Linked DNA regions of Arabidopsis thaliana. The protein of the gene in region 1 interacts with the protein of each later gene in a pairwise test. Each region holds a gene or a part of one and is shown in the gene's direction. Other genes may lie near its edges. The genes, in order: AT4G35110, WAVH2, AT2G25730 and AT1G03140.

Region 1 (7,813 bases):
GATAGTCAACTAACCCCAAAAGCACAATCTAATGAGGTCCATCTCTAAACAACTAACTAAAAAAAGTTCTAAAAGATCTTTAAAAAATTACTTAATTAGCAAGATCAAACACCTAGAAAACGATATTAAAAATCTTATGAAACAGCTTGCCAGCTTGTCTCTGATTTAAAGGAAATAGCAAGAAATCAAAACAAAACAAAAACTGCAGTGAGCAATCTTAGAAACAAAACCACAAATAATGTGTTGAAAGCAAAGATGAGTTTCAGACCGAAACACATTGGCAACTTGAGAGCTGATAAGACTTGGGGACGCTAGGCACAACAACATTGCAGCTCTCAACCTCCCCCCAAATCTGGGGTCCGAAATAAGACATACGCTCCTCCAACCTAATCACAGCACACCAAATTTCCTTCTCTTGGCTGCGAATAAGGGAATACCCGTCTAGAATCATGATCCACTCGCTCCATATAATTAACAGTTTCCCACCATAGTTAACTAACTGAATCGTACGGTAGCCACAACCACGCTTATCGTATAGAACATCCAAACCCATAACTCTTTGCCACGCTCGATGACTTGAGCTATACCACGTGTACTTCCTGCACACATGATCAGCAAACATTATATTTCCTATAACGCACCAAGGTCGTCCAGTTATAGGTTTCATAACTTTTTCTATACCGCCGGACCAAGGTCCAGTTATGGGTTGTAAATCCACAGACCCCACGTCTGGTAGCCATCTTCCTTCATTCGGATCATATGCATAGTTGTTACGCTTGGTGATTACGTATAGCCTTTCTCCAGAAACTGCAACTTTGTGATTCGAATGGACGGCATAATTAACACTAGGGCTAGGCAGCGGATTCCAAGTCTGAGTCTTTAGGTCGAAAACTTCACCACAATTCATGGATTCTTCCTCACTCTTTCTGCATCCTCCTATTACATATATATTTCCGTCTAAAAAACAAGACTTGGCGCCTACCCTTGACACTCTCATGTTAGGAGCACGACGCCACCTGTGAGTCCAACAATCAAGTACAAAAACAGCTCTGGATCGCTTGCCCTTGACAGTTCCGCCGATTTTGTAGATTTCGGTACCAGCAGCTACAGTGGTTGAGTTTACTCGAGTACGAGGATAAGAGGAAGAGAGCCTTACCGGTTCTAAACTTAGTTTACCCTCAATCTCGGCTAGGGTGAACCAGCGATGTTTTTTGGGTAACCACAGGCACACGTACGGGCAAGGCTCTGTCGCTCCGATGTGGGATCGGGCCGCGTAGATCTCTGTAGAAGAGAGAAGAGAGTAAAAGCTTTTGGAGACTAAAGAGAGGGAACGGTAGTACGATTTAGAGATCAGGGCTAAGAAACTTAAAACGATTTCATCTGGAAGTGATGAAATCGACATAGATAATGGAGTTTGAGCTGTGAGAATCGTCTTCTTCGTTTCCTGAGGTGGTTCTACTTTGGCGGTGTCCATAGCAACGATACCGTGTTTACTAAGCTCAGGTTTTAGGTCTCAAATTAGGTCTTATATAAGACAATAGTAAAAAGGAAATATTTTCTCCTTAGTTAAAATTAATGAACAAGTCCCCTGAATTAAAATAAAATACCAAATCGCCCGTTTTTAAAACAGATTTCAGTATTGAACCCTGTTAAAACCGGTTTGAAAACTAAAGTAATATTAAAAACGATAACAATTAACAACACATCGTTATATATACATTATGTTGTGTTACTGGAATTTCGGTGTTCAGTTTTTTAAACCGAACTCACCAAATTCGTATAAGAAAATCTATGGATTTATCGTATAAAGAACTTTTCTATGCTGCTTTCAAACTTTTTTTAAGATCCCTCCCTTGATTTTGGTATACCTTCAAATGTACATGTATACACAAAAAAAAAATGAAAGACAGAAAGATACACTTACACAATGTAACTTGCTTGATGATTCATAGTCATAGGATTTGAGACTTCTCTAACAATGCACTAAACTAGTCTCTTTCTTGGAAGATTTCTTGATGGAGACACGAGTAAGCTTTAGGGGAAAGAAGAATTTATCATGTTTCAGGTGACTCGTTCACACGATTGTGCAGGTATACTGACAATATTTCTATTTTTTATTAGAAAAATATGGATTTGGTCATAAATATCTAATTTTCTGGAAAAAAAAAAGAGAAAAAAGAAACACCAACGAAGACAAATGAATGAAGAGTAAAATAAAATTAGAGAACAACAGGGAAAGAAAAAGACATGTTGCATGAATGAAAAAGAATGGTCGTATTAGAGTAGTTTGCTAAATGATTTATTTAAAGAATGTGCATTATAGTATTAACAAAATCTTTTCATGTCTTTTTAAAAGCCAACGCTCTAGAGTTGACTCTATGTATTTCTTCTTCTTCTTCTTCATGATATGAAGTCTGACCCCCAACAAAAAAGGATGAAAGTATTTTTGGGGAAATGGTCATTTATCGCTTCTGGATAAGCTACTCGCATTTCGAAACTATATTGTACTAATACTAAAATTACGACTTACGAAAGATGACACAATTAATAACAAAAAGATGCTTTTATCAGATTCTATAATAAATGTTGTTTCCTATCGGATCAACATGCATGCACTTTGACAAATCGGGTAGAAAATTTCCTTCCTTCGGATTGAATCATAAAAATATGTTTTACCTAAGCAATCTCCATAATATTATCAGAAAATTTGGTATCAACACTTATTCGCAAGTAATGATATTTATATATTTGATTTGATTTATACTTATCTGCAACAACAATTAGAAAAAATACTAAGAGATCCAATGTAAACATAACTTTATATTATCTATATTTATTAATTGAAAGATGTCTAAGTTTTATTGGTTAAGTAATAATGGACAGCAAAAAAAAAGATAACTTCTATGCATAAAATTAGACAAGAGATATAGCAATATGGTTAAGAACTTGAGATTCTTAAGAACCTCACGTGTGATGCAAACAATGACACGCAATAACGCGTTTTAACTGACAACTTTCTTTCTTTATTTTTGTCTCTTAAATTTCTTTTCCTTTAAGTGGTTACAGATTTCTACTTTCGATTCTCGTCGACTCTAAAAATCTCACTCGTATTTGTATAACCGTCCCACGTTGTTGTCCACTTCTGGAAGATAAGTGAGGTGTGTGATTGATTGCCGTTTCCAACCTCTTTTCAATTAAATGCTTCTCTCTATCTTCAATTGGTAATATTGGCTTTGGTCAATTCATCATCATCATCATATTATTATTATACCAAAGACAATGTCACATGAACCTTATAATATACACAACTGTTATACCTTATAAACAAAAATAAAAATCAACATTTTATTCATTTTTCTCCGCTCATCACATTTCTCTCCCTCTTCCGATTCTCCTGGTATATCTCTCTCTCTCTTTCTCTTTATTTCTCTGTTTGTTGATTGATTGCATTTTTGTGTGAATTAAAAGTTTGGTTCTTTGATCCACAAATAGATTCTTGATCTCGATCAGAATCGTGGGTTTGCTTTTGTTTTAAGAATTAATTCAATGATCGATGATGAAACTGATTGATACTGTTTTATTGTCATATGCTCTGTTTCTTTGCTCTGTTCTAAGGAAATTTTGTGACAAACGACAATCATGGAAAACGAAATTTCAACCTATTAAAAAAATATTATCCACAAGGGTGGGCCTTGGAAGTTTTTGTCTGTTCAAGAAAACAAGCCGGTCAAAATAATCTACCTTTTAACTCTGGTCTAAGTCAATAACTGAGTGCTTCCACCGTTGAAATTTAGTATCTCACTGGAAAATTGTACTTGGAAATTGCATGGTCGGTCCATGAAAGTATTAAGGAGAAGAAACAAACCAAAAGTCGTCTTTTTGTATCTCTCTATACCTATACATTTTATGATTTGATTGGTTTTGTGGGGATCAATTTCACTATTACTCGTAAGAAATTTCTTTATGGATATGTTTTGGTGAATCTCTCTCTGCTTCTCACAATCTCCCTCTTTACTTTTTTTCTTTCATCATATAAAGGGTTGGTGAAATATGAATGGAATCCAATTTCGTTGGGAGGTTGTTGTATATTATAAGTTTTTAGTGTCTAATCTTTTTGAACTATTTGTTGAAATTAAGGTGTAAAGGTTTGACCACTTACTTACCCTTAATGTGATATGTTCAGTCCTTTGACACCACAAATTTGAAGTTCTTGTGTTGTTCTTTGAGTTTGTCTTCTTTGAGCTGATTAGTTATCTTGATTTTGTTGCAGTTGTTCCATTCATCAAAAAGCTATGGATTTCAATAGAAAAGCTCATCCAGATTGCGTATATGCGGATAATCCTTTCCATGAATGTGCTTCAGCTTGTTTAGAGAAAATTGCTCAAGGCCATGTCAAGAAGAACACTAAGAAGCAAAGTACTTTTTTCTGCTTTTGATTTTGCCATTTTAAAAACTTTTCCTTTATGGATTCTGATTCTTGTTCTGTTATGTTACAGGTTCAAGGCTTCTTAGCTTCTCAGGGAGTTTCGGTAGGAAAAAGAAGGAGTCGAATTCACAACCGCCTACACCGCTATCCGCAAGGCCTTATCAAAACGGCAGAGGCGGTTTTGCAAATGGTAATTCCCCAAAGGTTCATCATTCTGTAGCTCCACCTGCTTCCGTGAAGAAGAAGATTGTTTCTGAAACGAAAAATTCTTTCACTTCTTCATCATCCGGTGATCCGGATGATTTCTTCAACCATAAACCAGAGAAGAAACCTTCTCAAACCATTCCCCTTTCATCAAACAATTTGGTATCTCATCCTTTACTCTCTTCCATGATTTCGACCACCATATCTTTACCATATTTGTAAACATCAAGATTCTTGTATCTTATGAAGGTTGATCAAAGCAAAGTGGTATCACCTAAACCGGGAATACAAGAACACAATGGGAAGATTGGAGAAGGCGGCGAAACTAGACTCTTTAGTTTCCTAAGCCTTCCAAGATCGCCTGGAAAAGAGAGCAATGATGATTTTTCTGATGATGATGACGAAAACAACAATGAGATTGGTGTAGAGCTCGATCTCGAATCAGTAATGTCTGACACTTTTGTCTCTGTCGGGAAATACCGAGTCAGATCGGGTTCATCCACTATACTAAGTGCTGTCATCGAAAAGCACGGAGACATTGCTCAAAACTGTAAGCTGGAATCGGATTCAATGCGATCACGTTACCTCGAGTGTTTATGCTCACTGATGCAGGAACTTAGGTCAACCCCGGTAGGGCAGTTGAGCAAAGTCAAGGTCAAAGAGATGCTTGCGGTTCTCAAAGACTTGGAGTCTGTGAACATTGAAGTAGCTTGGCTACGTTCTGTTCTTGAAGAGTTTGCGCAGTCTCAAGAAGATGTAGAAAATGAGAAAGAGAGGCATGATGGTTTAGTGAAGGCTAAGAGAGAAGAGCTTGAGGCTCAAGAAACGGATTTGGTTAGGATGGAGAAGGAAGTGGTGGAAGTGAAGCGGCGGATTGAGGAGACGCGGGCTCAGATGGTTGAGATCGAAGCAGAACGGTTGAGGATGGAGAAAATGGGATTCAAAATGGAGAAATTTAAAGGGAAATCGTTTATAGATGAGCTTCTGTGAGTTTGAGTTGTGTGTGATGTTGTTAGTAGTAAGCCAAGGGTAGTAGGTAATAGCACAAAATCAAAAATGCTCTAATAAATGAGTTTTTAAGGTTAGGGTTTTTAAGTATTATGGGAAAGCTGGTATTTATTGGTAACTTATAAAAAATATTAAGATATTTGGTTGTTGCTAATAAATACGTTTTGATTTGTGTGATGCATTTTTCTTTGGTTATGTTTTTTTTTTTTTGGTTTCTTTCGTTTTCTATAATGGGAAAGATTACAAGTTGCCTTCGAGTTTGGAAAACGAAAGATTGTTTATTAAAAATTAAATTCACAACTATATTTATTGTGTTAGTTATAGCAGAACTTGTTGAATATTGTATAGTATAGTTCTTTTAAATATGTGTATAGAAAATGTCAAAACAACACTTTTGCAAAATAAAGGAATGAATAATTTTGTTGAGTTCATTCTTTATTACACTCAATTTGAGCTCTACTCTTCGATTTTTTTGTTACTTTGTTTTTGTCGAAAAGTAGATGTTATTCCATAACGATGATTTTTAGGGGATTTTAAAGCCAAATATATCTTATGTTTTTATGTTATTCACTAGTTGATTTTGTTACATAATTGTTAGATTTGATATTTTTAAAAGTAACAAAGTATCGTACTCTGCTTTTAAACCGTTTGCAACGGACAAATCAATCTGTTATTTGCGACAATGCTACTGGGCTTCAGTTACTCATGTCGGCTTTACACCGAGCCCACTGAAACATGGCCCAACGGGAAGCTCCCCGTTGGGTTTGCTCACGAAACGAAGATTTAAGTGTAAACCGGAGAAGTTGAACCAGAAACCTCCAGATAAAGGTTTGTGGACCACAAATTGTGCTTGGTTTTGTTGCACAATGTGAGTAAGTAATTATAAATAACCTCATTGGAGATTCAGATCTTAACTAATAGACAGCAGTTACTTCAATCGTCTTTACTAGAAAAAATAAAATAAAATCTTTAAGTAGGCTCCAAAGGCTTTCACAAGATGGCAAATGACCTCAAAAAAACAAATTAGTTATCACGTGAAATCACCTTGACAGCCAATTTTTCCAGACACATAAAAAATAATCCGTAACATGGAATGATTAAAAAAGTTCGCAACTTTTAAAAAGTCTGAATTAGTGATTTATATCCAAAGTTGAAGATGTTTTTTGTCAACATATTATGACATCATTTCTTTCAAAAAAATGGACAGACAACTAAGTTTCACACTCAGCTGCTGTCTGTTTCAAGTTTATGTTTTTAGCTATACAGCATCAGATCGGTTAAAGTAAATCGGTTTAGGGATAAGCAGAGGGGTGAACCGGCCGGTCACATAAGGTATTTTGCAACTTGCAAAATTGCTATTATCCAGAACCAATAAAGCAATAGCTATTATAAAACAAAATTTAAGGCCCAACTATATGATGGTTCATACTTCATAAGCTGCTAGGGTTTACAAAGTTCAAAATGAGTGGACCATATTGAAGCTAAGAAGAGATAACGAAGAATCGATCATAACGGCTAAGTATTTAAAATTAAAACTGAGACACTAGGCGTATTAACCAGTAAAAGCGTGAAGGCCATCGTTGTGGTCCTTCTCTCTCTCTCTGTCTCCTCTGCATTCACTTTTCTGAAAAGACGAGACGTGAATTATTACTACTATTCCATGTAGACAAATTCGTATTTGTATTCATACTATTTTAAAGCCAACTCTCACTGTCGCAATTTACATCCCATAGACAAATTTAGTGCTTATTGCTTCCATGAGCATTTTCTTTTTTTTTTCTCTCTTTAATCAAATGCATTATTCAATTAAGTTGGTAAAGTCTTTTATACAAATAATTTCCTAATACATCCAAACACATATGCGTTTGGGTGGGTCTAAAGACTCTTAGCCAAAAGGAGTCTACTATATAACAATAACAATAACAATACGGTAACTAGACGCAGAAAAGTTACCCATGTGATAAACACATGAGCTACGCGACACGCGGCCTAAGAAAAGTTAGAGTGCGGTGGAAAAAATGGGTTTAATGTCTCGTTTCTTGTCTGGTTGTTACAACTCTATTGGCTCCACTCCTTTTTATCCTTTCACAAAAACAACAAAAGGTACTCGCACGAGTTCTTTTTCTTTTAAAAACAATACTAATTCTAACAAGTAACATCGAAAAAAAAGACTAA
Region 2 (8,598 bases), on another chromosome or scaffold:
CAATGTTGCATTCAAGAATAGTATCTATAATATTTAGTTATAAGCATTAGGTATTAGGTCAATTATATTCAACTGAGTCTACGAATCGAATTGCATATTGCGTAAAAATTCAAATAAAAGAAGCTAGATAAATGAATATACGTACGATTACGAGAATGAATGTGTGTTTCTTCGATTTGGTAGACCTTCAACAAACCCACCGAATTGATGGTATCCATAGATTTCTTATCAGTTATCAGTCATGGGAGAGATTTACGATCTCATATATATGGACAAAATATATCGTATCAGCATTATTATTGATTTATTGTTTAGTTAAGTTCTTTTTTTTTTGGTTTTTCCTTTTTTTCTTTGAAAGGTTTGATTAGCAGTTTTGTCCGGACAGACCAAGTATATATATACAATAATTGTGATTGTGTTAGGACATTCAAAATCTTCCATACAGTTTTCGAATTAAGTTGGTATACAAGTTTTTCAAATGTTAAATCAAATCCAACTAAACTAGATTTGTTAAGGATACATAGGATCATCTCTCTTTAATATCATAATATTCCTCTATCTCCTTTATGGAACATTCTATATTTGTACAACCCTAGTGTAGCCTCCTCTGTACTTGTATATATACTTGTGTAAAGCTATTCGTATAATATAAGTCATTACATTCTTAACATGGTATCAAGAGCCTAATAAGAACATTGTTGGTTGTAAATGGGTATTTAAAAACAAATTTCTCCCTAATGGTTCTCTTGGCAGGTGCAAATCAAGGTTTGTGGCAAAAGGGTATAATCAACAACTTGGCCGTGATTATACAGACACTTTCAGTCCTGTGATCAAGTCGACCACCTTACGTCTTGTTCTTGATGTTGCGGTAACCCGATCGTGGCCAATCCGACAATTAGACGTCAACAACGCCTTTCTTCAAGGCACCTTGAAAGAAGAAGTTTACATGGAGCAACCTCCTGGGTTTATTGATCCCGACAATCCATCATTCGTTTGTCGACTACGTAAAGCGATTTACGGGTTAAAACAGGCTCCGCGTGCTTGGTATACGGAATTGAAGACTTATCTCCTCACCTTGGGATTTCAAAACTCGTTGGCTGACACTTCTCTGTTTATTCTGCAACGTGGCAAATAATTTGTCTATCTATTGGTGTATGTCGACGATATACTAATCATGGGTAGTCACAAAGGAAGCATTCAACAAGTTCTTGATGCACTCGCAGCTCGCTTCTCCATCAAAGACCCTGAAGATCTCAACTATTTTCTTGGTCTAGAAGATCATCGGACGTCTAAGGGCTTACATCTTTCGCAGCGAAAGTACATTCTTGATCTACTTCAACGCTACAACATGATTAACGCCAAACCAGTAGGAACACCAATGGCATCATCTCCTAAACTCACACTCATGTCTGGTATAACTCTCTCCGACCCTACTGAGTATAGAAAGCTTGTTGGAAGTTTGCAGTATCTTGCATTCACAAGACTTGATATTGCATATGCTGTAAACCGCCTCTCTCAGTTTATGCACAGACCAACCAATGATCATTGGCAAGCTGCAAAACGAGTTCTTAGATATTTGGCTGGAACTACGACTCACGACATTTTCTTTGCTGCTCAAAACGAGCTCTCCCTTCATGCCTTTTCAGATGCAGATTGGGCCGGAGACTCAGAAGATTGCGTTTCAACAAATGCTTACATCGTTTACCTCGGGAAAAATCCAATCTCATGGACTGCCAAGAAACAAAAGAGCGTTGCAAGGTCTTCAACAGAAGCTGAATATCGATCGGTGGCAAATACTGCTTGTGAAATCCAGTGGATATGCAGCCTTCTCACGGAGCTTGGGATCACACTTCCCAAACCGCCTGTGGTCTATTGTGATAATGTGGGTGCTACTTTCCTTTGCGCAAACCCGGTTTTCCATTCCAGGATGAAGCACATAGCCATAGACTATCACTTTATTCGTGGACAAGTTCAGCAAGGCATTCTTCGTGTGGCTCACGTCAACACTAGAGACCAACTCGCTGATGCATTAACAAAACCGCTTCCTCGAAATCACTTCACGGAACTTCGAGACAAGATTGGAGTGTGCATAGCCCCTCCATCTTGAGGGGGCGTGTTAAGGATACATAGGATCATCTCTCTTTAATATCATAATATTCCTCTGTCTCCTTTATGGAACATTCTATATTTGTACAACCCTAGTGTAACCTCCTCTGTACTTGTATATATACTTGTGTAAAGCTATTCGTATAATATAAGTCATTACATTCTTAACAAGATTAACTAACTAATATTTTCATTTTTTGGTTGATAATCAATGATTCCATGGCATGCACGCACGAAGTCATGTGTTGTCTCTACAATGGCAGCCACTTAAAAAACCTACCAAACCATTTACAAATGCTTAACTACAATTTTGTTTAGCAGCCCCCTTATCATATATGTACCCACCCATTTATTGTTTCATTCATTCATGTGGCTCTTCAGCATAACTGCAAGATACTAGAGGCCACAAATTGCAGTAATTTGTATTTTGGAGTTAATACCTTTGATTTAGGACACTAATTATCTCGAGCACTTGATCAGCCAATCTAAAAGGTTGTCAAATCAAAATAATAGAAGTGTCGAAATCAAAATCAGACCAAAACCATCAATTTTTTTGCAATAGCAAGAAGAATTCAAAATTTGCTGGACCTGGACCAGTCTAATCTTTATGTCATATCATTAGCTCTTGTCGTCACCATATATTATAAATCATTTTGTTGGTAAATAAATGAAAAAAAAAAACTTTTCGACCTTTCTCCATCAAAGACCTTTTACAAAATTCCAAACCCAAAACTTTAGGTTAAATTCCTCGCTCCAGCCAGTATGTAATTACGTAAGCAACTATCAATTAAATATACAACTCAATTCACAATCATGAAGATAACTCGAATACAACGTGTTTTAGTATCATTTATATTTCGTAAGGAAAATAAGCTTACCGTTTATTGCTCAGACTGTAACGTCACGTGCCCACATGTTTGACCTTACACTCCATCACAATCTGCATTTCGAAGAATCCGATAAGATTGGAAATGATTTATATAATCGAACCACATTGTGGAACATTCAAGAGGAATCCACATTAGACAATCTAATAAACTGTTTAATATTTTGAAAAGAAAGATTTTACATGCAAATGGAAAACAAAGATCTCCGCGTCTCAAGTTATTTGAAATCTCATTTTGCATATGGTCGGTTATTACCGTTGACTTTTAACTTTATCGTCCATCCCAATGAAACAACACTTGAAATATGTAAAAAAAATAGCAAAATTGACCCAAAAAAAAGAAGGACTTAACGGATCAGTGATTATTTTCTTCGAGGCAAAACAATTACATGCAAATGGAAACAAAAGCCAATTCACACGCATAAAAGTCACAATTTTTACCTTATAATATTCCTACAACTTAAAATAACATAAAAAAAAATGTCTTTATCGAAACATCACTAAAGAAAAAGAAATCTCTCTATAGTCTTTATCTTAGTATTTAATTTCTCCATCTTCCTTATGATCCATTATGCCCAAAGTCCTTCTTCTTCTTCTCTATAATTACTTCCACAAATAGAAGAAGAAGAAGAAGAAGAATAATATAGAAAAAAAGAGAGCTTCTCTTCTTATTTCTTTCTCACAGGAAATGGTGTTTGGTTGGAGAAAAGCGTTTTGCACTTCCGTTTCAAGTAATCAAGATAAACCTCAACAACATTCATCATTACACACTACTGATCCTCCAATTCCCACACCAAGATTCCGATCAAAGTTTGGTTTTTTATCCAACCCTTCAACTCCTCGTCTCCGATCACGCGGCGGAAGCGGCACTGGATGCCGCTCCTCAGCTTCCACATCAGTCACTATCCCATCTCTTCCAACTAGTCCCAAACTCCATTGCAGGACTACGAGCAATGCTACTCCAAGGACTAGTAACAGCTCAAGTCCCAAGTTTTTCTCTAACCCTTCTTCTCCTAAATCATCATCTTCTTCTTCCTCTCAAGGCGGCGGCGGCGTCTCTCTCCTCCGTGCCACGCTTCTTCTCAACAAGGTAGTTACTTTTGATTCAATCAAGTTCTTAATTTGAAAGACATAATCTAAAGCTCCGTTTTGTGTGTGTGTGGATGCAGAGTAATAGTAGTAGATGTGCGATTTGTTTGCAGAGAGTGAATTCAAATCAAAGCAACTCGACGGCGGCAATTTTCACGGCGGAGTGTTCACATTCGTTTCACCTTTCTTGCGTCAATGGATTAGAAGACAAGCGTTGTCCGTTTTGCTCTGCCGCATGGAATCACGCGCCAAAGTCGAATTATCCGGCTGTTAATAATAACTTCGGATCCGACCCGATTAGACGACCCGAGATCCGAGAGATCAAAACGGGGAAGTCACTGAGAGTGTACAACGACGATGAGCCGTTAGCTTATTCGCCGGTTTCTCTTGCTCAGATCAACACTATACATGAATCAGACGAAAACGACGACGTTGAAGATGACGATGACTTCCCCGGATTCTTCCGAGATTCTTCGATTACGTCTGATATGGTTCCTTCAATCTCAGGAAATCTGGAGGTTAAGTTGCTGCCGGAATCTGCCGTTGTGGAAACCGGGAAAAAGAAGGAGACACACGTCGTCATCATGAAACTAAAAGCGTCTCCGTCGCCGTCGTCCATCACCGATGCGATTAAGGCGCGAAGACCATCGATAGATCTGGTAACGGTTCTCGATTTAAGCAACGGCGGTGCTAATTTGCAAACGGTTAAACACGCGATGAGATCGGTGATCTCTCTTCTCCGAGAAATGGATCGTTTATCGATCGTCGTTTTCTCGACGGGGTCAAAACGGTTAATGCCGTTACGACGAATGACGGCGAAAGGAAGACGATCGGCGCGGCGAATGGTCGACGCACTCGGCGGAATGGAAACCACCGGCGGAGTTGGAATGAGCGTTAACGACGCGTTGAAGAAAGCGGTTAAAGTCGTTGAAGATCGGCGGGAGAAGAATCCGTCAACGAGCATCTTTGTTTTATCGGACGGTCAAGATCAACCGGAGGCAGTTTTGAAAGCTAAACTAAACGCAACGCGCATTCCGTTCGTCGTGTCTACCACGCGTTTCTCTCGTCCGGAGATCCCGGTTCATTCCGTTTACATTGCTTCTCCTGGAGCGTTGCTTCACGCGCCGCTACGAGACGCGTTCACCGAAAGAATCGCTTCGTTGCTCAACGTGACTCTCCATAACGTGAAGCTAAATCTCAGTTTGGTCAACGGATCTCATTTGACTGAGATTTCATCGGTTTACTCTTTAACCGGTCGACTCGAGAATTTCGGATCCGGTTCTGTCATCCAAGTCGGAGATTTGTTTGCGGAGGAGGAGAGAGAGTTTCTCGTTGAGCTCAAAGTGCCGACTTCGTCGAGTGGTTCCCACCAAGTAATGTCCGTACAGTCGTCGATCGTTGACCAAATGACACATCAGCCAATGACATGTCCTAAAGAAAAACGATTTTTGATCCCACGGCCACAATCCGTCAGATATGTATCTTCAAGCATCGAACGGCTGAGAAATTTACACTCCATGTGCCGCGCTGTAGCGGATTCACGCCGGCTTATCGAGCGTGAGGATTTATCCGGAGCGTATCAGGTTCTAACGACGGCTCGGTCCAATGCGTCTCATTCGGATGATAGTTTAAGGAGTTTGGAGGTTGAGCTAAATGAACTTAGCCGGATTAAACCGAGAAATAGTATATTAAACCGAACTGAAGATAAACCGGAGCAGCTTACCCCTACTTCGGCTTGGAGAGCCGCCGAGAAATTAGCTAAAGTGGCTATTATGAGGAAGCATTTAAATCGAGTCAGCGATATGCACGGCTTGGAAAACGCCAGATTTTAATTTTAATTTCCCTTTTTTTCGAAAATTCGATTTCAATGATTTTTGAATATATAATGGTACATAATTTATATAAGGAGGATAAGCAATAATTTAGTAAGGTATAAATAATAGAAGTATGATTATTCAGAAAAAGACCCACATAGGTGCATGATAGCGACAAGCAGTAGCCGACGGGTGTGGCCTTTTGTATTGCAGAGAGATTGAGACCCTACATTAGAAGGAATTAATTGGTCTTTTAGCATTTTTATCTTCTTCTTCCTTTTTGTAATCTTCAAAAACTCCAAATTAATGACTGAATAGTTAAAAAAAGTTGTAGATCAAATAAATGAAGTCTGCTTTTTTTGTGTACTATATAGAATTAAAAGTTGAGGTATAGTGGATTAGAGAGTGTGCTTGTAATGCTGGACTTCAAAATCAAAAGTTAAGTTTATATTATCATATGCCGTTTAACTTAAGAGGATCTATAATATATTATATCTTTCCAAATGAATGATCATGATTAGTCATGTGATCATCATTATAGCCTATTTTGTTATAGAAGGCACCGGGTTTGAATGATTTGAATAGTGCGTGGGGATTGTCTTTGTTGGTTGTTGGTGAATGGTTTGGTGGGTGCACCGTGGTAGAAACCAGGTCATGCGCCGTTGCAAAGCTTTCTTCTCGCTTAAATTCATTCATTTTATATCATTAAGACATTTACTAATTATATGTAGCTAGCGCCAAGTTGCAATTTGTTTTGAATGCAATGATTTTGTATACTTTTAAAATGGATGAAATGATTAACTATTGTCAAAGGTCCACTTCTCGATGTGATTCACTAAAATGATCAGTGGCAGAAGAATCTCGAACTATATATATGGTCAAATCATAACTAAAAAAACTAAGCTATTATTTTTTCACAAAAAAAAAAACTAAGCTATCATTCATCACGCAGTTACATATTGCATATGGACAATGTTAATGTCAACTAATGAAAGGGAAAGAATCTCGAACTATATATGGTCAAACGGTTTGACGCACCATACTTAAAAAAATACTAATCAAGGTGCATTACATTCATTGATGTTACAATTACTTGTACTAATGAACTCTGTGAAAATCAGAATAACCCGGTATAACACACTATTTGGAGTTATAATGGCTGATCCAACTTTTGGGAGATTTTGTCACAGTTGGGCTACAGTTTGTGCAATCGGCAACTGTAAAGCCCATTGAGAATTCCAAAAATAATGTAAACCAATTAATAAAGCATTTACCTTTGGCGCCTGGGACGAAAATAAGATACCGAAAACAACCTTTACTCTACAAACATAGGTCCATGTAAAATAGGCTTAGGCCCAAATAATGTAACTCTAAAACAAATCTATGAATCTATTAATCACCAAAGTTATCTTTTACATAATGTAATGGGTTATTTAAGGAGAGATTTAATAATTTCGAAAATGTTTGGTCAACTCCGAAAAGGTGAACGTGTTAATTAAAAAGTCCTGGTACTGCGGCAGAGAGAGAGATTAGCCCATATGACGTGGTTGTGATGTGTCCGAAAGCTGTCAACATTGAAAATCAACGGTCCAGATCAGTATACTGACACTTGGCTTTGTAAATTTGTTAATTTTCTTCTCTGGTCAAAAGTGAAAGTGTTAATTATAATTAAATTTTATCTAGTTTTCAAGTAACCATCCATTTAGTACAGCCAAGATTGGATTATCTTTAAGTTTTTAAGTTATTCTAACAGTCTTTATTGATGACTTTGTATTTGCAAGAGTTGCAACCACCAATATCTTCTATTACATATTTACATCAAATTCAGAGTATATGTCATCCATACAAAATAATACATTATCGTAATAACCACACAAACTCCGTTAATCCATTTGTTTTCATTGGCGGTGGACTATTTTAAAGAAGAAAAATATATTTATTTTTTTGTCAGAAAGTAAAATATTATAATGGTGTTGAAACTGTTAACACCATTATAATATATATATAAAATCTAAGTCAAACTACTGTGGGGAAATTTGATTAGGAAAACAAAAAACGTGCTTTAAAAACTATGTTTGTACGCTGTACGGATAAGATATTTGGAAACGACACACTATATTTATAATCCAAACATATTTTAAAAGAATTACCGGACTGTATTAGTTGAAATGTTATTGGAACTGTTTCTTAATTACATATATTAAAAGTATTACCGGACTGTATAATCTGTATTATTTGAAATGTTATTGGAATTGTTTCTTAATTACAAACGTGAAGACATGAATACGACGACAAGTATTATACAAAGTTATCCACACCCATGTGCACGTAAAGTATGCTTAATAAGATTTCCAAATCTATCTATAATCAACGTAATGTCTAGTCACCTAATTATCACAATAGTGGACAAATAGTTGCATTATCTACAAAATCAAGATTATACTCTCTATATGAGTATAACGTGAGTGTCATCATTTAATTATAGAAAAAACACGATTATGCAGGCTAATTAAAACGCGTTAATTACTGAGTCAATGAACCTATAAAACCGGCTTATGCTACCCCTCCCAATCTCATCACAACCATTAGTCTCTCTTTCAGACAATTTTGGTTCTTTTTCTTTTGTATTTATACATTCTTAATCTTCTACAAAACAAAAGAAGAAAGACACATTTCGGTACTAACATTGTTCTTCATACCTCT
Region 3 (8,137 bases), on another chromosome or scaffold:
CCATCCATCTACTACAAAATATAAATAACACAGCTAAGATATTCACAAAGACACAAGACGAAATATTCAACCAACAAAACAAAGACAGAACAGAACAGAAGGAAGAAATGATGTTAGAATCTTCAAGCAAAAAGAGATGGAACGTTAACGTGTTATCATCAGCTTCATCTCACAGAGAGACAATTGTACTTGGAAGATATAGCAAGAGTTGCAGAGAACAGAAGCAACACCAACGAAGAGAAAGGCTCTTGCCCAAATGGAAGGTTTTGTTGATGAAGCTTAAGCTCTTGCCTTCTCGTGCTTCTTCCACTAAGGTCGTGGCTTATGAGCCTTGTGATTACTCTTTGAATTTTGATCAAGGTCCAGGATGGCACGACCACGATGAGCCTGAGAATCTTTCACGGTCTTTCTCCTGTCGCTTCGCTGATCCCACACGGATCCGAGAAACACGCTTTCTCTTGTATTAAGTTTACTTTTCTTTTCTCCTTCGGTTTCTTTAGACCTTCTTTTAAATGATGAGATTATGTGGCTTAGCATTGTAAACAAATGAAAAGAAAAGTTAGGATCATTGAGTTAATTTTATTTGTTCTAGTGGGAGGTCATAAATTATAGTATGTCTCATTACTTCTCAGTCACTCTTCCTTTCCGGGTTTCTCTACTTCTGTAAAATCATTTTGTCTACTATATTTGCTTTCGTTTTTTTAAAAGAAAATATTGAAAAACTTTATAGTAATAAGATGGACCTTAATTTCACATTAATCTACTTCCTAAGCATTACAATTTATAAATCATTAATGATTCATAATACACAATATGTGCAAATATTATACTATAGTCTAAGTACAATTGTGTAAGTCATATGTGCAAATATTATATAGTCTAACTACAATTGTGTAATTTATATGTAAGTGCTTAGGTTTAATCTCATCTCATGTATATATAAGGCATGGCCTACTATTGAATAAAGTAGGAAACCTTTATACCAAACTAGGCTTCTTGACACTCCTTTCTGTCTTGGGCAATCAGTAGAACTTTGATGCCTTTATGCAGCAACTATGCATAGTATACTCGAAGAACAATTGAGACCGAACGTGTGCATCTTGAACAATGGACACTAGAGGAAGACTATCACATTTTTGATTGTTAGATTTTGGTTTTGTTTTTCACCTTTTGGTTTAAGAGTTTTGTTTTTCATTATTCCTTTGATTGAATAATGAATTGCATTGTTCCTTTGTATTGATGAGTACGTAGTGGAATATTTTTATTATAGGTCAATTGATGAATTTATATTAATGATCAAAATGTCATTACAAACAATACGGAAGACTAAACCAACCAAAGAAAAGTTACAACAACAAAGCTAGTAAAAACAGACACAAGGGAAAACATTTTATAAAGAACTATTAGACAAATCTAAGCGAAACAAACCATAAATTAGAAACAGAGAATTAAAAACAAAAGCTAAAAGTTGTTCCAGATTATTATTCCACACCCCTTTCTTAACCTGCAATTACCAAATGTAGGATCCTAAAACTTCTTGACGAAGGTTAATAGAGTGATACTACTTTTTCTTGGGAGATTTCAGAGTATCTTATTTCTTTACATCGTGAACCTTTTGTTTTTTTCTAGCTATCTATGTTATTCATGATGGAATTTGAGCTTTGATGATTCACCAATCATCAAAGTACCGTGGGACTTACCGAAGTGATATCATCTTCAGTACTTGGACTTACATTAGAGCCTATTGATGCACGTCTTCTCCATGAAGATGACTGTGGAAATGAGCCTCCAAAGTTTAGGTTCGTATTGATAACATCACATAATAACGTAAGTAGAAGAATTCGCATAAAAAAAAGTAGAAGAATAAAAAAATTCGCATACTGAAATTCGTAAAATAAAAAATCGCATTATAAATTCAGCAATTATATACTCATTTATTTTGTGTTTTGATGTTTCGGTAAACATTATGCATATTTTCTTAATTGGTAAAACTTTTGCATATTCGCATAATCTATCAACAATGGTTTTTCGATTCAACATCCTCCACATCATCTTCTCTTTCTTCCACATCATTTCCTCTCTCTTCCACATAATAATTCAATACCCACTCAAATTTTATACTCTACAATGGTTTGTTTAATAAAATTCAACACCCTACCCCACAAATTTTTTTTTCATTATTTTTCTTTTCTTTTATGTTTTAAATGGATAATTAATAGAATTTTGGGTGTTAAATGAGTTATTGTTGGGATGTTTTCTTTTATGTTTTATCGGCTAATGGATTTTTTTTAGTGAAAATAGATGTAATTTTTTCTGTGTCCAAATAAAATGAAACAAGTCTCTATTTATAAAGTTTGGAAAATGATGAATTTTAGTATAAAAATAATTTAAAACAAATAAATATTTTATAAGATAATTGATCTCCAATAATTCAGAGGAAAATAAAATATAAGAAATTTCAGTAGCAAATAAAAGAACAACACATGTCCTATCTTTATTTAACTCTCCCCCACAATTTCTGTCTCCAATTATTTAATGACAAGTGGCAATGAAGGATCCATTTTTAAAGATTCAACATTGTTGAATAGATTCAACACTATTTAATCCACATAGGATTCATTTCTTTATTCAATACCCCATTGTAATCATTCAACTATTGAATAAATTTTTTCAATAAGCCATTGTAGATAGTCTAAGAAAACATTATTCCGCCATTATACATGTAAACCTACTGGAACCTTAATTGCTTTTGTTTTTTTTTTTTGTCTAAAATCTTAATTGTTTTTCACACTTTTTTTGTCAGCAAAGACAAAAAATAAAATAAAAAGCAAAACCATTGGTTAACAAGTCAGAACCGAAACGAATTTAATCAATCGGGTTAACCCATTTGCTTCCCTGTCCCAGCCTTAATGGTCTGCTCTGCTCGTCTCAGCTAAGTTGACGATTCCAGACCAAAAATTCTTCACAAAAAATATCTGAAAAATCCAGCCAAGATATTTCAGATTGTACGGAAAATTTCAGAGCAAATAATTTTCAGATTAATCGGTATGTATTAGCTCAGTGATCGGAATTTGTGACGGCGATGGATAAAGAGACGGAGATTCTCTCCCGTCTCGCGGCGAACCACCTTCATCTGGCTCAATTCGAGCCATTGAAGGCTACGTTACTCGCTCTCAGGGTTCGTAACCCTGACCTCGCACTCACCATTCTCCAAACCATCGTCTCCAACGCTGGAAGATTCGATAATGTCCTCTGGTCACGCTCTTGTCCTTCCCCGTCTCTTCTCTCGTTCCTCTCCACGATTGAGCTTCTGAGATTCGAAAATCCTACTTCTCCTTGGGGATTTGATTCAGAAACTCTAAGTTTGCGTGCCGATTTCTTGTTGATGGTTCAGGTTTTGATCGATAGAGTTACAGAGAGGATTAAGGAAGATGAGGAGAGTGAGGATGAAAATTCTGGATTAGGGAATTGTTTAAGGGTGTTGCAAGGTGTTTTGGAGTTAGGTGTTGAGAGGTTGAAGTTTGTTGTTGATACTAGTAGTAGTGAAGGAAGTAATAAGATTGAGGAAGATGCAGTTGTGTCTTTGAGGAGTATAGTATTGGATTACTCTGATGTTTTCGATGCTTTATGTTGTAATATTCAGAGGCAACTTGCGGGTTGCGAGAGTTACGGTACATGTTTGGTTGAGGAAGTTCAGGGAGAAGAACAGAGAAAGGAGATGAATGAGGCCACATGTATTGGTTCTCCGGAGCTGGATAACATCAATGTGTTTGCTTTGATACAGAGGAATGTTCAGTTAGCACAGTTGGATGCTATGAAAACAAAGTTGGATGAAGGTGATGAGCGCGGGGCAGCTGATCGCATTCGTTATCTTCACCTTGATTATGGAGTAGAGAAAGAGAACTATCAGTAAGTGCTTGATTTATATACATTCCGCAAATACATGAGTTTATTCCGTTCTATTTCCTGCTTCAATTTGTCTTCCTGTTCCTTAGCATTTGTTTCTTGCATATTTAAGAATAGAGAACTTACTTCAATTATTCTGTTTTCTTATTTATGATAGTGCTGTTCTAAAAGCTCTCCTTTCAAGAGTTATGGAGAAAAAGGATGAATATGGTGATTCCTGGCACATGGTGCGCCAGAACTTGCTGTTTATGTATAAAGAAGCTCTCTCATCGAATTGTGGAGATCTTGTTCAGATGATCCAGGTTGGTAATTTTTTTATAAAAGCTGATATAATGGATCGTTCTCATTAAAAACAAGGTTTCACATGTAAGATACAACTATTTTTGGTACATATTGCTGAACTGAGAAAAGAACAAGTGGTTTACGGAACCTGCTAATATGTAAATGTAGTATAGCTTATATTTGTTGCGATTAAGAACTTAGAACCGTTTTGTCAATCTTGATTATACTGGAATTTGAAGCTGGTATAGCCAGTTGGCATTTTTCTTCTATATACTTTGTGAATATTTACACTGGTGATAGTTGAGTTCAGTGGTTGGTCTGAGTTGATGGGTTTGCTTATATGTGGATATTGAAATATGTGTATGTGTGGCTTTGAGTAAGTTATCTTGTACTATAAGCTGTTATCTGATTACAACGTTTTCCTCGGCAGGGTATTCAAGATGATATGCTCCTCCCACATAGCCAACTACATTTATCTCTCGACAATGAACAAATTCCACTCCCTCTTGAATGTTTCCGGCGATATCTTGTAGACTTGAAAACTGAGAGAAATATAGAGGACAAAAGTTCTCCTATGAGCAGGGCAATTAATTCTTGTCTCAGAGATATGTATCATTATGCTCGTATTTCTGGATCACATGTTCTTGAGTGTGTGATGTGTGCTGCTTTGTCTTCTGTAAAGAAAGAGAAGCTTCAGGAGGCTAATGATGTAGGTGGAATAGAATAAAGTTACATATCTTCGTACTCATTATCTTACTGCAGTATTGTTGATTGGCTGCTACCCCATTTGACTTCCCTTTTTCTATTGGGATCTGAATCCCTCTTCTGCTCATATGTTTCAGGTTCTTACTTTGTTTCCCCGACTTCGCCCTTTAGTAGCCTCCATGGGTTGGGATCTATTGCCGGGCAAAACTGCAACCCGTAGAAAATTGATGCGGCTACTTTGGACTAGTGACTCGCAAGCACTTCGGCTAGAAGAATCTTCTCTTTATGGAAACCAGACAGATGAAGTAACTTTTTTTTTCCTTCACATAAACTACTATTTGGATCTATTATTTTTAGAAGATGACAGTGAAAGTCTAACAGGACACAATGATCTGGGCAGAAATCTTGTGTGGAACACCTCTGCGATACGTTATGTTATCAGCTGGAACTTGCATCTTTCGCTGCTTGTGTCAATTCTGGTAAATCATGGACTCCAAAGGCATCTTTCTTGATGCATGGTAATGTGTCATCCGCGCATGATGATGCGGAGGTGGATCCTTTTGTTGAAAATCTTGTATTGGAAAGGCTTTCAGCGCAAAGTCCACTTCGGGTAGGACATTCTTAAACATCCTTTCTACATAGACTAATCCCCCACAGGAAAAGTGTTCTGGAAGAATATGTACAAATAAATTTCTCTAAGCTATAATTAAATTTAGTATTGTCAGTGGAAAATTTCATTATATATCATGTTGGCTAGATATATTTGCTTACATTAGGAATGTTGTCTTCCTAGGGAATACGTATAGTTAAATAAGAAGAGGAATAGATAACACGAGGATATTGTAGCATATGTTACTATGGTTTATCAGGAGTACTAATCAACAATAAGAGTACAGTGGGATTTTAAGTCAATTTTGGATAAATATATATATATTTTTTTTGGGTTAAAAGATATCTGTTTCGTTTATCACATTGTTATAGTTAGCAAGTTTCCTTGGATCATATAAAATGAATTTTTGATAGCTTCTGGTATTCTAGGTGTCCTGAGCTCTTGGAGGAATGAAAGAATATACATCTTTTTTCCTGAATAATACAGCACTTTTCATTATGCCATAATAACTTTTAGTACTGTATTTTGAAATAATGAACCTTGTCACTGTGAAGGACACTGACATTGCCATCAATTTCATACTATATAAATCTAAATGTTTTTTGAAATCTTTCCACTGGATAGATGAGTTTGCTTTGGCACTTAGTATTTCAAATTACTATTTATGAGTTTGCCTCTTTCCTCTTCCCTTTAAACCTCTCTGTTAATTCTTTCAGTTTTTGCCAAGCTATGACAAACTTTGTCAACGAGGTACTGGTATATTATGCACTAGCAGTGGCATGTGATTTTTTCCTAGTATGATCATGTAAAATTGTTTCTGTTAGGTTAAGTGATATTGGTGCTCTTAATCCGAATGTTTTCTTGGTGCTCTTAATCCGAACAAGTTTTAACTGCATACAATTATGTAGGTATTGTTTGACGTTGTTCCGGGCATAAAATTCCAAGATGCTATTTCACTGATTAGTATGCAACCTATTGCTTCAACTGCAGAAGCCTGGAAGAGGTCAGTTCAATAAAATATATATATACAAATACTTTGATCAGTTGTCTCTTTACTTTCTTGGATAGATGTATCTGTGTTTAGATTTTAGCACCTAACCCCTCACAACAATTTTTGCAATAGCCCTCTTGTTTTTGTGAAATGTTTTGTGCATTCTTAAAGCTCTTTTGATTTTTATTTTTCTGAGGTGAATCGTTGCGGTTTCACTTTTATGTCTTCGTATACTGTAGGATAGAAGATATTGAACTGATGCATATGCGTTATGCTCTGGAGGCAATCGTTTTAGCACTAGGTGCAATGGAAGAGGCTATGAAGGATGAGACAGATGCTAGTCATCGAGTAGTATTTTACCATTTAAAAGACCTCACTAACCATTTGGAGGCCATTAAAAATGTTCCACGCAAGGTAGTATACATATATACATTGATTAATTTACAAGAATCTGGGCTTTTCTCATCAATTTGGTTGTAACACCATATTGAAAAAAGTAGAAGTGCGTTACTATTTACTTTGAATAAAAATGATAAATATATGGTGTGCCTCATACTACATCATCACGCAGTGTTATTTCTATCAAACATTATATTTTTGCAATACGTTACAGTTTACATGTTTTTAACATGAGTTCTCTTTTGTTTGCAGATAATGATGGTGAACATAGTTATTTCACTCTTACATATTGATGATATCCGTCTCAGTTCTACGCAAAGTGCCTCCTCGGCATGTTTTTCTGAAAAAAGTAACACACCTGGTTTGGATCCTGGCGATCTTGGTACAGAAGGGGAAAAGGAAATTGTTATTTCTTTCACAAAACAGCTACTCGATGTTTTACGCCGCAATCTTCCATCACATCCAATTGAACAAGAGTGTCAGCTGGATGGTAATTACAGTACTGATGGAAGACAGGCTTTAGAATGGAGAGTATCCATGGCTAAGCGTTTCATTGAAGATTGTGAATGGCGATTATCTGTTATGCAGCATCTTCTGCCACTTTCTGAACGCCAGTGGGGTTTAAAGGAGGTTTTGAGTATTCTAAGGGCAGCCCCTGAAAAACTGCTTAATCTGTGAGTTAAATTATCTTTTAATTTTTGGTAATTTATATTTCAGTCATCAGGGAAAAGCTGCTAGCCACCTTTAGGTAACCAAATCGAAGTCCAAAATTCAGAATGATCTCTGTATGTAGGGAAACGTTAAAATATCAATCTGTTTGTTTTTTTGGGGATTTTGGGTTACTAATTAAATGATTATCAAGTTGCCTGAACTATTTTATCTAGAGCCAGTGTGCATTTGTAACCTGTATGGTTAAGAGGGCTGAAAAGTTAGAGGTCTGTGGTGAAGTTTCTTTTTTTATAGTAAGAAGCTGAGCTGATATCTGCAGTTTTTATCACCTACATATGTTGCTAAAGAACAAGGGTTCTTTCTAGCTGTGCTGATGAAATAGTTAATGAATTAAACTTATTTCAAGGTGCAACTGTTTTTTTTGTATATCATTACTTGTTACTTGTTCCCGTATTATCTCTGCCAGAGTTCCCAAATTGATATTATCTGAGTAATACTTGGCTTCCTCTTGCCACTTTTTTAAGACATTAACTCTCATTCTGCAGCTGTATGCAAAGAGCTAAGTATGACATTGG
Region 4 (7,567 bases), on another chromosome or scaffold:
TTCTCATGGAGAGAGAAAGAGAGAGAGTGAGATACCTTCGTCTGTGTTTCTGATTAGTTTTCTTATCTCTTAAATATCCTATTGGCCCATCCCAAAGCTATAAGACGGACGGCGCGATTAATTACTTTTCAAACACATGAATTAACGTTTTCACATATGTGTTCATATCCAAAAGGTCCAAAGTATACCACGAAAAGGGAGAAAAACAGATTTAAATTCGTGAAATCCCTCTCCCACAATTAAATTTACTTCTTCCAAACAAAGACAAACGGCTTGAACCAGTCAAGTAAGTGATACGGCACCACTAGATGTTCCAGAGCCTCCATCTTTTTTAATACGAAGAAGATTTGTCCTTTGTGTGTATGAATTTAACAAGTTTTAATTATAGATTTGTGTGTGTATGAATTTAAAAACCTAGTACGTAGCATCAGGGAATGATATCATAGCTATTTTAGTTGAGCTTTCAAATAAGAGATGATCAAAATTTAGAACTTCTAAGAACATGAACGAATAAACAACTATTTTCTTTTCAAACCAACTAAGGTAGATGGTCACTGAAAGTATATACATCAGATAAAAGTTGCTTGTTATTCCAGATGAAGTTGGACCGAGAAAAAAAAAAGTTACTTGTTATTCAATATGTTTGGATCTTTGTCTTGCAGATTGCTATATAGGGTTGATAATGGGCTTCGTTGTAATGGGTATACAGTGTATAAGAATCGGCCTTGTGCAACCAATCCTAATATGTGTGTCTCATTAAGGTAAGTGCTTAAGATTAGAAGAGTAAAACACTTGACTTATCAACTATGTCAACTAAGGGTTCTATATTTTTATTAAATAAAAAATAATTGAATATTTTTTAGAATGATTTAATAAATTTAATGCTATTGTTTGATTTAAATGTATAATTCACCGCGAGAAGAAATTTTATAACTCAAATTTTAAAGTTTTAAGTTGTATTTGTTTATTTTGTTAAATGTTTAATATTGTATAATTGTATTTTGATTGTTGTTTCTCGGATTTCACCCGTAGTACATCATCCCATATTAATATCGAATCAAACCCGTCAATTCTAAAATTTCACCCGTGGTAGTATTTAATTGTATAATTATATTTTAATTGTCATTCTAAGATTTCACTCCTAATTCTATCGCAAATTATTATCAACCCAAACCAGTCAATTCTAAAATATCACCCGTAGTACACCATCCCATATTAATATCGAATCAAGCCCGTCAATTCTAGGATTTCACCCGTGGTAGTATTTAATTGTATAATTATATTTTAATTGTCATTCTAGGATTTCACTCCTAATTCTATCGCAAATTATTATCAACCCAAACCAGTCAATTCTAAAATATCACCCGTAGTACACCATCCCATATTAATATCGATTCAAACTCGTCAATTCTAGGATTTCGCTCGTGGTAGTATTTAATTGTATAATTATATTTTAATTGTCATTTTAACTCCTAGTTCTATCGCAAATTCTTATCAACCCAAACAGTCAATTCTAAAATTTCACCCGTAGTATAAAGTTTAAATATTTATAATATTTAAATTTCTTATAAAAGAATCAAAATGTGTTTTAAAAAAATTAAAGTTTTAAGTTTTTTTTTTTTAATATTGTTAATTTTGTTTAGTGTTTAAGATTATATAATTACATTATGATTGTCATTATATGTTTTTCTCCATAGCATACTATCCCATGTTATTATCCACTCAAACCTGTCACACCATATAACCCCGTCCCGTGAAATTAAACACAAATTTGTCATTTTATTATAAATTTCAAATATTTATAAAATTAGAAACTTCAAAAAAGATTAATATTGACCCAAACTTCATCATTGAATTTTGAGTGTTATATCTAAGATTTCTCTCGCAATATATCGTCCCGTATTAATATCTTTTATATTGTTTAAATTTCTTGTAAAATTTAATTTATAATTTTTTAAACTTTTTAAAGTTTCAATTTTTTAAAATAAATAACCCTAGGAAACAAACCATTTTAATTTAAAGATAAACTTTATAAAAAGTTTTTAAAATTATAATATTTAACTTTTGATAAAGTTATAATATTTATAATTTCTTGAAACATTTTAAAGTTTCAATTCTTTAAAATAATAAATCCGAGTAAAATCAGATAACTATTTTAATTTTGGACGCTTGATAAATCAAGCTTCCTGCTCATTCGTAATCAGAATCATTTTGGTCCTTTTATAATATGGGTCTGAACCATTGTCCAATTTTTCTAAGCGATGTGGGACATTGTACACATATTATTTCTTCATAGGTTGAATAATATATGTCCGTTTAAAAAACTTTGAATTACATCATATTCAGAAAAAAATATAATATTTTATTAACTATATATATTTTATATAAATTCAAAATAAATAAAGTATAAGATCAAATAAAAATGAAAGAAGAATTATATATTTATGTTTAAATTAGGTAGAAATATTTTAGGAAATTGGTTAAGGTAAATAAGAAATATGGTTAGTTTAGAGATATTGTTTATATTAAATCATTAATTTTCGTTTTTAATTATTAGTTTTTAGGTAACTTTTCCAAAAATTAATGTTATCCAATATCAGAACAGAATTAAACATGTTATCCAGGATCCGAACAGAGTTAAACCGGGTAAAACCCAACCATTTGAATTAATTGTTGAATTATGGCTCAAATCTTCAACATTATCTTCAAAAATCTCCTCCAAAAATGTATATATAGATTAAAGTTTAATCAAAACTAATTATAAATTTGTGTGGAAGAAAACGAAACATAATAGTTCAAATACGAAACAACAGGAATAGTAACATCATCTAAAGGCTCTTGGAGAAATTTTTAATGCAGATAACAATTGTGAACCAAGTTAGGGTCTTAATCATACTCTAATTCATCAGGTGTGATAGGTCTCTTGAGAGGAATCACAGACTTTTTCTCTACATCTCTTGATAATGCCTTCCTCATATCTGTTTTTTTAGATCAAACGATTTAAGATTTAAACAAAAGAAAAAGTTAAGCGCGAATCATAGATAAAAAGAAGTTAATCAAAGCCTCACCTAATCCATCTTCCTCTCCTGAATAATAGCGTAAAACCCGCCTATAAATTATGTATCCAAGCTGCCAGAAAAAGGAGAAACGGTTTGTTTCATCAAAATGGCCATCAAGAAGAAGCCTATGAAGGAGATTTGACACTAATAAATGGAAATATGTAAAATGTGTGCATGTCCCATTTACAACTTCTTCTTTTTTTCCTACAATGTCATCAACATTATGAGGCTTCTAATCAATTTCATAATCCTAATATATTACCTTTTCATACATCTTGATGGCTGGTGTGTTGGAAGCTCTTACAAAAAGATCCACAAAGTAGGCTTTATCACTGCAATCAATAACCACAAGTATAATAATCATTAGAAGACCAGAAATTACCAGATAATATATAAAATCAATGAGGAGAAATTCAAGATTTTCTTCCTTTGAAACAATCTAAATATATCGGTTTTCAAATAAATAAATGGTCCACTCGAAAGCCAATATCAATATATTAAGGCTTTCATATTTTATATCATAACGATCCATATCAAAGAGAACACTAAAACTTGAGATGCTTTGTAATTGTTAAGTCTTACATCTTATCACTTATATCTTCCAGAAGGTTCATCAGTTTCTTTGCAAGTTGCTGCCTGCGGTATTCTGGAGAGACAGTGACGGCTGTCACATGACCATGCCAAGATTCACCCTGTCCTTCAACTTTACCCATAACTGAAACCATGTAGAATCTTAGTTAGACACATGCTTTTAAAATTATATTTATAAGAACAAGTTTTACATATGTCACTTACGTTGGATTCTCAAGAATATCAACCATAACATTTCAACTATACAAAAGAACATTTCAGTGACACTGCTTAATTTTCAAATGTGTTAATATCCAAAAGCTTAGTTTTACTCTCAGTTCTTTCAATGGTTTCACTATACTTCCAAGGTCTCTTTCCAAACTATACCACGAAAAGGGAGAAAAACAGGTATAGTAATAGGGCACCACGAGAACAGAACGTCAATAATGAAGCATATATCGTACTTGAAGAAAATAAAGAAAGATAAAGCCTTGTATAAATCACATTTCGAACCAATCCAATAAGGTATAGCATCATTATACTACAAACACTGAAAGACAGAAAAATTTGAGCCTTGATATAACTCATAACTCATTCTCTGGACATTTAGAAGTTAGCACAAACAATCTTAAGCCATGCTTCCTATGCATCTTCTACCCCATATCAAGATTTCTAAAACCGCTAACTACAGAGACTAGGACTAATACAAGCAGAATTTGTTTAAACACTTATACATCCTGGTTTGTGTTAATCAGTTTTCAAACAGAGTCACTCTTCCTGGTTTTAACAACATTCAAGCTATCTCCATCTGATAACCAAAAAAAATCAATAGTGGCTTTTACACTAACAGTTTATCATCTAAGTTTCAACCCTAAAAGTAAACATAATCTCCACGAATTTCAAATTCCTAAACCAACGAAGACATAAAGAAATCAAAACGAAGAGAACAAGAGGATTACTTACTATAACCCATGACACGATTGCCGGGACCTTCAGCAACATGAAAATAGTCAGGCCATCTCGCTAAATAGGTCATGTAGAAGGACATATTGAACTGTTTCACGAAACAAAATTCGAACAAAAATCAACAAAATCGCCATAGCAAAACAAAGCAATAATCAGACGAAACCAGATAATAAGAAGAAGAAACACGAGATTACTGTTTCAGTGAGGTGGTCCAGATTCACGGAAGTGAATCGGAGAAGGTCATTGCAGCTGAATCTACGTATCGTCGTCATCTCTTCTTTTTCTCAAATCCCTTCGAGCTTCGTCAGATTCTCTGGAAAAAGAAAGAGGAGACAACAACAAAGCAATATACATGGCCCAGTTAGAAAATTAATAAAGCCCATTTATATTTGGGCCTATAACACTGATGACGTCATGTAAAAGATGATCAAATTTCATTATCTCCCGTCGTCGCGACCTTCTCAGACAACAGAACCAAATCCTCGGCGGCGATTGAAGAAACCTTTCCGATGGATCTGCTCAGGGAAGAGATTCTGAAGAAACGTAAGAGTCTAGCTGAGGAATCTGGTGGTAAGAAGTTCTTCAAGCGGTCTGAGATCGAGCAGAAGAAAATCCAGAAGCTTCGAGAGGAAGAACGACGCGAGCACGAGCTTAAGGCTCAGCGGAGAGCCGCCGCCGCCGCTTCCGGTGGAGATGGAAAATCATCCGGCTCTGCTCCTGGTTCTTCTAACGCAGCTACGTCTGCGTCTTCCAAATCCTCTGCATCGGACGCTGCTGCTATCGCCGATTCAAAAGCCCTAACCGACGAAAACCTAATTCTCCCGAGGCAGGAAGTGATTCGTCGTTTGAGATTCCTTAAGCAGCCGATGACTCTCTTCGGAGAAGATGATCAATCGCGGCTCGATCGACTCAAGTACGTTTTGAAGGAAGGATTGTTCGAGGTTGATAGTGATATGACTGAAGGACAGACGAATGATTTCTTGCGTGACATCGCAGAGCTTAAGAAGAGGCAGAAGAGTGGTATGATGGGAGATAGGAAGAGGAAGAGTAGAGATGAGAGAGGAAGAGACGAAGGTGATAGAGGTGAAACAAGGGAAGATGAACTTAGTGGTGGTGAATCGAGTGATGTTGATGCTGATAAAGATATGAAACGTTTGAAAGCTAACTTTGAGGATCTATGCGATGAGGATAAGATCCTTGTGTTTTATAAGAAGCTGTTGATTGAATGGAAACAGGAGCTTGATGCGATGGAGAACACTGAGAGGAGAACTGCAAAAGGGAAACAGATGGTAGCCACTTTTAAGCAGTGTGCTAGGTATCTAGTTCCTCTCTTCAACTTATGCAGGAAGAAGGTAAAGATTCTTGCTTTCGATTGTTAATTAGGTGTAAATCATTGTTTGGCAAGAAAATTGTTAGGGAGATTATCTCTGTTTATGAAATTGGAGATAGATTATCTCAGTTCTATCTAATAAGCTTAGAGAACTATGTTTATTAAGCATAGTTTGGGTAGGAAGACCAATGTGCAGTGTTTAGGTTCCATTAGTTTGTGTACTTTTGATTATATGGCGACAAGGACGAGTTTTCTAATAAGTTCTAGTGCTAGGTAGACAATGAGAACGTAGAATAGCAAGTTGGAATCTGTATGCACCTTGAATTTGCCATTGAGGCCTCTGTTAGTTATCTCCATTTAGCTGAAGAAAAATAGGCTGGAATGTTGAATGCAGAAAAAGTTTCTCTCTTTCTGTCTTTGTCTTATAAGTGTTAAGAATGTATACTTTCTTACACTGAAATTTTATGAGGTTTCGTGAACTTGATCTTTCTAGTTATGGCTTAAAATTGCAGGGTTTACCAGCTGACATTCGTCAAGCTTTAATGGTGATGGTTAACCACTGCATAAAGCGAGACTACCTTGCTGCAATGGACCACTACATCAAACTAGCTATCGGGAACGCGCCATGGCCTATTGGAGTGACTATGGTTGGTATTCACGAACGTTCAGCTCGAGAGAAGATTTACACCAACAGTGTTGCTCACATCATGAACGATGAAACCACTCGCAAGTATCTTCAGTCAGTTAAAAGACTGATGACTTTCTGTCAAAGACGTTATCCAACTATGCCTTCTAAAGCCGTTGAGTTCAATAGCTTAGCCAACGGAAGCGACTTACAGTCTTTGCTAGCCGAAGAGAGATTCTTTGGTGGTAATCGTGAACAGGTCTCAGAGGAGAGACTCCGGCTCATGCCTTCTCAGAGCGAAAGCTAGTCTTACTGTGTTTTCTGCTTTGTTGTGTTTTTATTTTTGTATCAAAACGTTGACTCTGTATTATCGTCTATTTAAAACGTTGACCTGATTGTCTAGTCTTATGTGGCATGTGGGAAACATATCCAAACTCATAAAACGACATGGCCTAAAGATCTAGTAAGGGTAAGAGGAGAATCGAATCTTGGAACCTTATTGGTCCAAATGGTATGATCACCTTATCCCAAAATGTTCGATTCTCATCTACCCTCTCGTTGTCAGATTCTATTAAGCCATTTCATCTCTATCCATTTACTCCACAGAGAAAGATTCAGAGAAAACAGAAGAAACTATGGCAACTCAAGCCGCCGGAATCTTCAGCCCCGCCATAACAACCACTACTTCCGCCGTCAAGAAACTCCACCTCTTCTCATCAAGCCACCGTCCCAAGTCTCTCTCCTTCACCAAAACCGCCATCCGCGCCGAGAAAACAGAGTCCTCCTCTGCTGCCCCAGCCGTGAAAGAAGCTCCAGTTGGATTCACTCCCCCGCAGCTAGACCCAAACACACCATCACCAATCTTCGCCGGAAGCACAGGAGGTCTCCTCCGTAAAGCACAAGTAGAGGAATTTTACGTGATCACATGGAACTCACCGAAAGAACAAATCTTTGAGATGCCAACAGGAGGAGCTGCGATAATGAGAGAAGGACCGAATCTATTGAAACTGGCGAGGA

What was found.
Region 2: the proteins of AT4G35110 (region 1) and WAVH2 interact in a two-hybrid assay, tested with the Arabidopsis thaliana proteins (one large-scale study listed by BioGRID).
Region 3: the proteins of AT4G35110 (region 1) and AT2G25730 interact in a two-hybrid assay, tested with the Arabidopsis thaliana proteins (one large-scale study listed by BioGRID).
Region 4: the proteins of AT4G35110 (region 1) and AT1G03140 interact in a two-hybrid assay, tested with the Arabidopsis thaliana proteins (one large-scale study listed by BioGRID).

Annotation. Positions count from the first base shown.
Region 1 is NC_003075.7:16,710,467-16,718,279, reverse strand, and holds AT4G35110 (phospholipase-like protein (PEARLI 4) family protein), read left to right. Parts: upstream 1-3,488; 5' UTR 3,489-3,963; coding exon of another isoform or gene 3,964-3,977; 5' UTR 3,978-4,054; coding exon 4,055-4,077; exon of another isoform or gene 4,078-4,270; coding exon 4,271-4,416; intron 4,417-4,496; coding exon 4,497-4,792; intron 4,793-4,879; coding exon 4,880-5,620; 3' UTR 5,621-5,865; downstream 5,866-7,813. Other genes in the region: AT4G35120 (Galactose oxidase/kelch repeat superfamily protein), read right to left, coding at 263-599, 642-1,474.
Region 2 is NC_003076.8:26,257,792-26,266,389, forward strand, and holds WAVH2 (Zinc finger (C3HC4-type RING finger) family protein), read left to right. Parts: upstream 1-3,344; 5' UTR 3,345-3,680; coding exon 3,681-4,082; intron 4,083-4,161; coding exon 4,162-5,913; 3' UTR 5,914-6,379; downstream 6,380-8,598. UniProt on the Arabidopsis thaliana protein: Probable E3 ubiquitin-protein ligase involved in the regulation of root growth. Acts as a positive regulator of root gravitropism.
Region 3 is NC_003071.7:10,967,675-10,975,811, reverse strand, and holds the start of AT2G25730 (zinc finger FYVE domain protein), read left to right. Parts: upstream 1-2,860; 5' UTR 2,861-3,082; coding exon 3,083-3,909; intron 3,910-4,063; coding exon 4,064-4,208; intron 4,209-4,618; coding exon 4,619-4,897; intron 4,898-5,030; coding exon 5,031-5,198; intron 5,199-5,293; coding exon 5,294-5,503; intron 5,504-6,411; coding exon 6,412-6,506; intron 6,507-6,733; coding exon 6,734-6,908; intron 6,909-7,145; coding exon 7,146-7,567; intron 7,568-8,107; coding exon 8,108-8,137. Other genes in the region: AT2G25735 (uncharacterized protein), read left to right, coding at 108-467.
Region 4 is NC_003070.9:753,761-761,327, reverse strand, and holds AT1G03140 (splicing factor Prp18 family protein), read left to right. Parts: upstream 1-5,024; 5' UTR 5,025-5,104; coding exon 5,105-5,947; intron 5,948-6,437; coding exon 6,438-6,857; 3' UTR 6,858-7,067; downstream 7,068-7,567. Other genes in the region: FZL (FZO-like protein), read right to left, coding at 1-7; AT1G03150 (Acyl-CoA N-acyltransferases (NAT) superfamily protein), read right to left, coding at 2,887-2,978, 3,069-3,129, 3,322-3,391, 3,642-3,774, 4,593-4,683, 4,790-4,867; PSAD-2 (photosystem I subunit D-2), read left to right, coding at 7,186-7,567.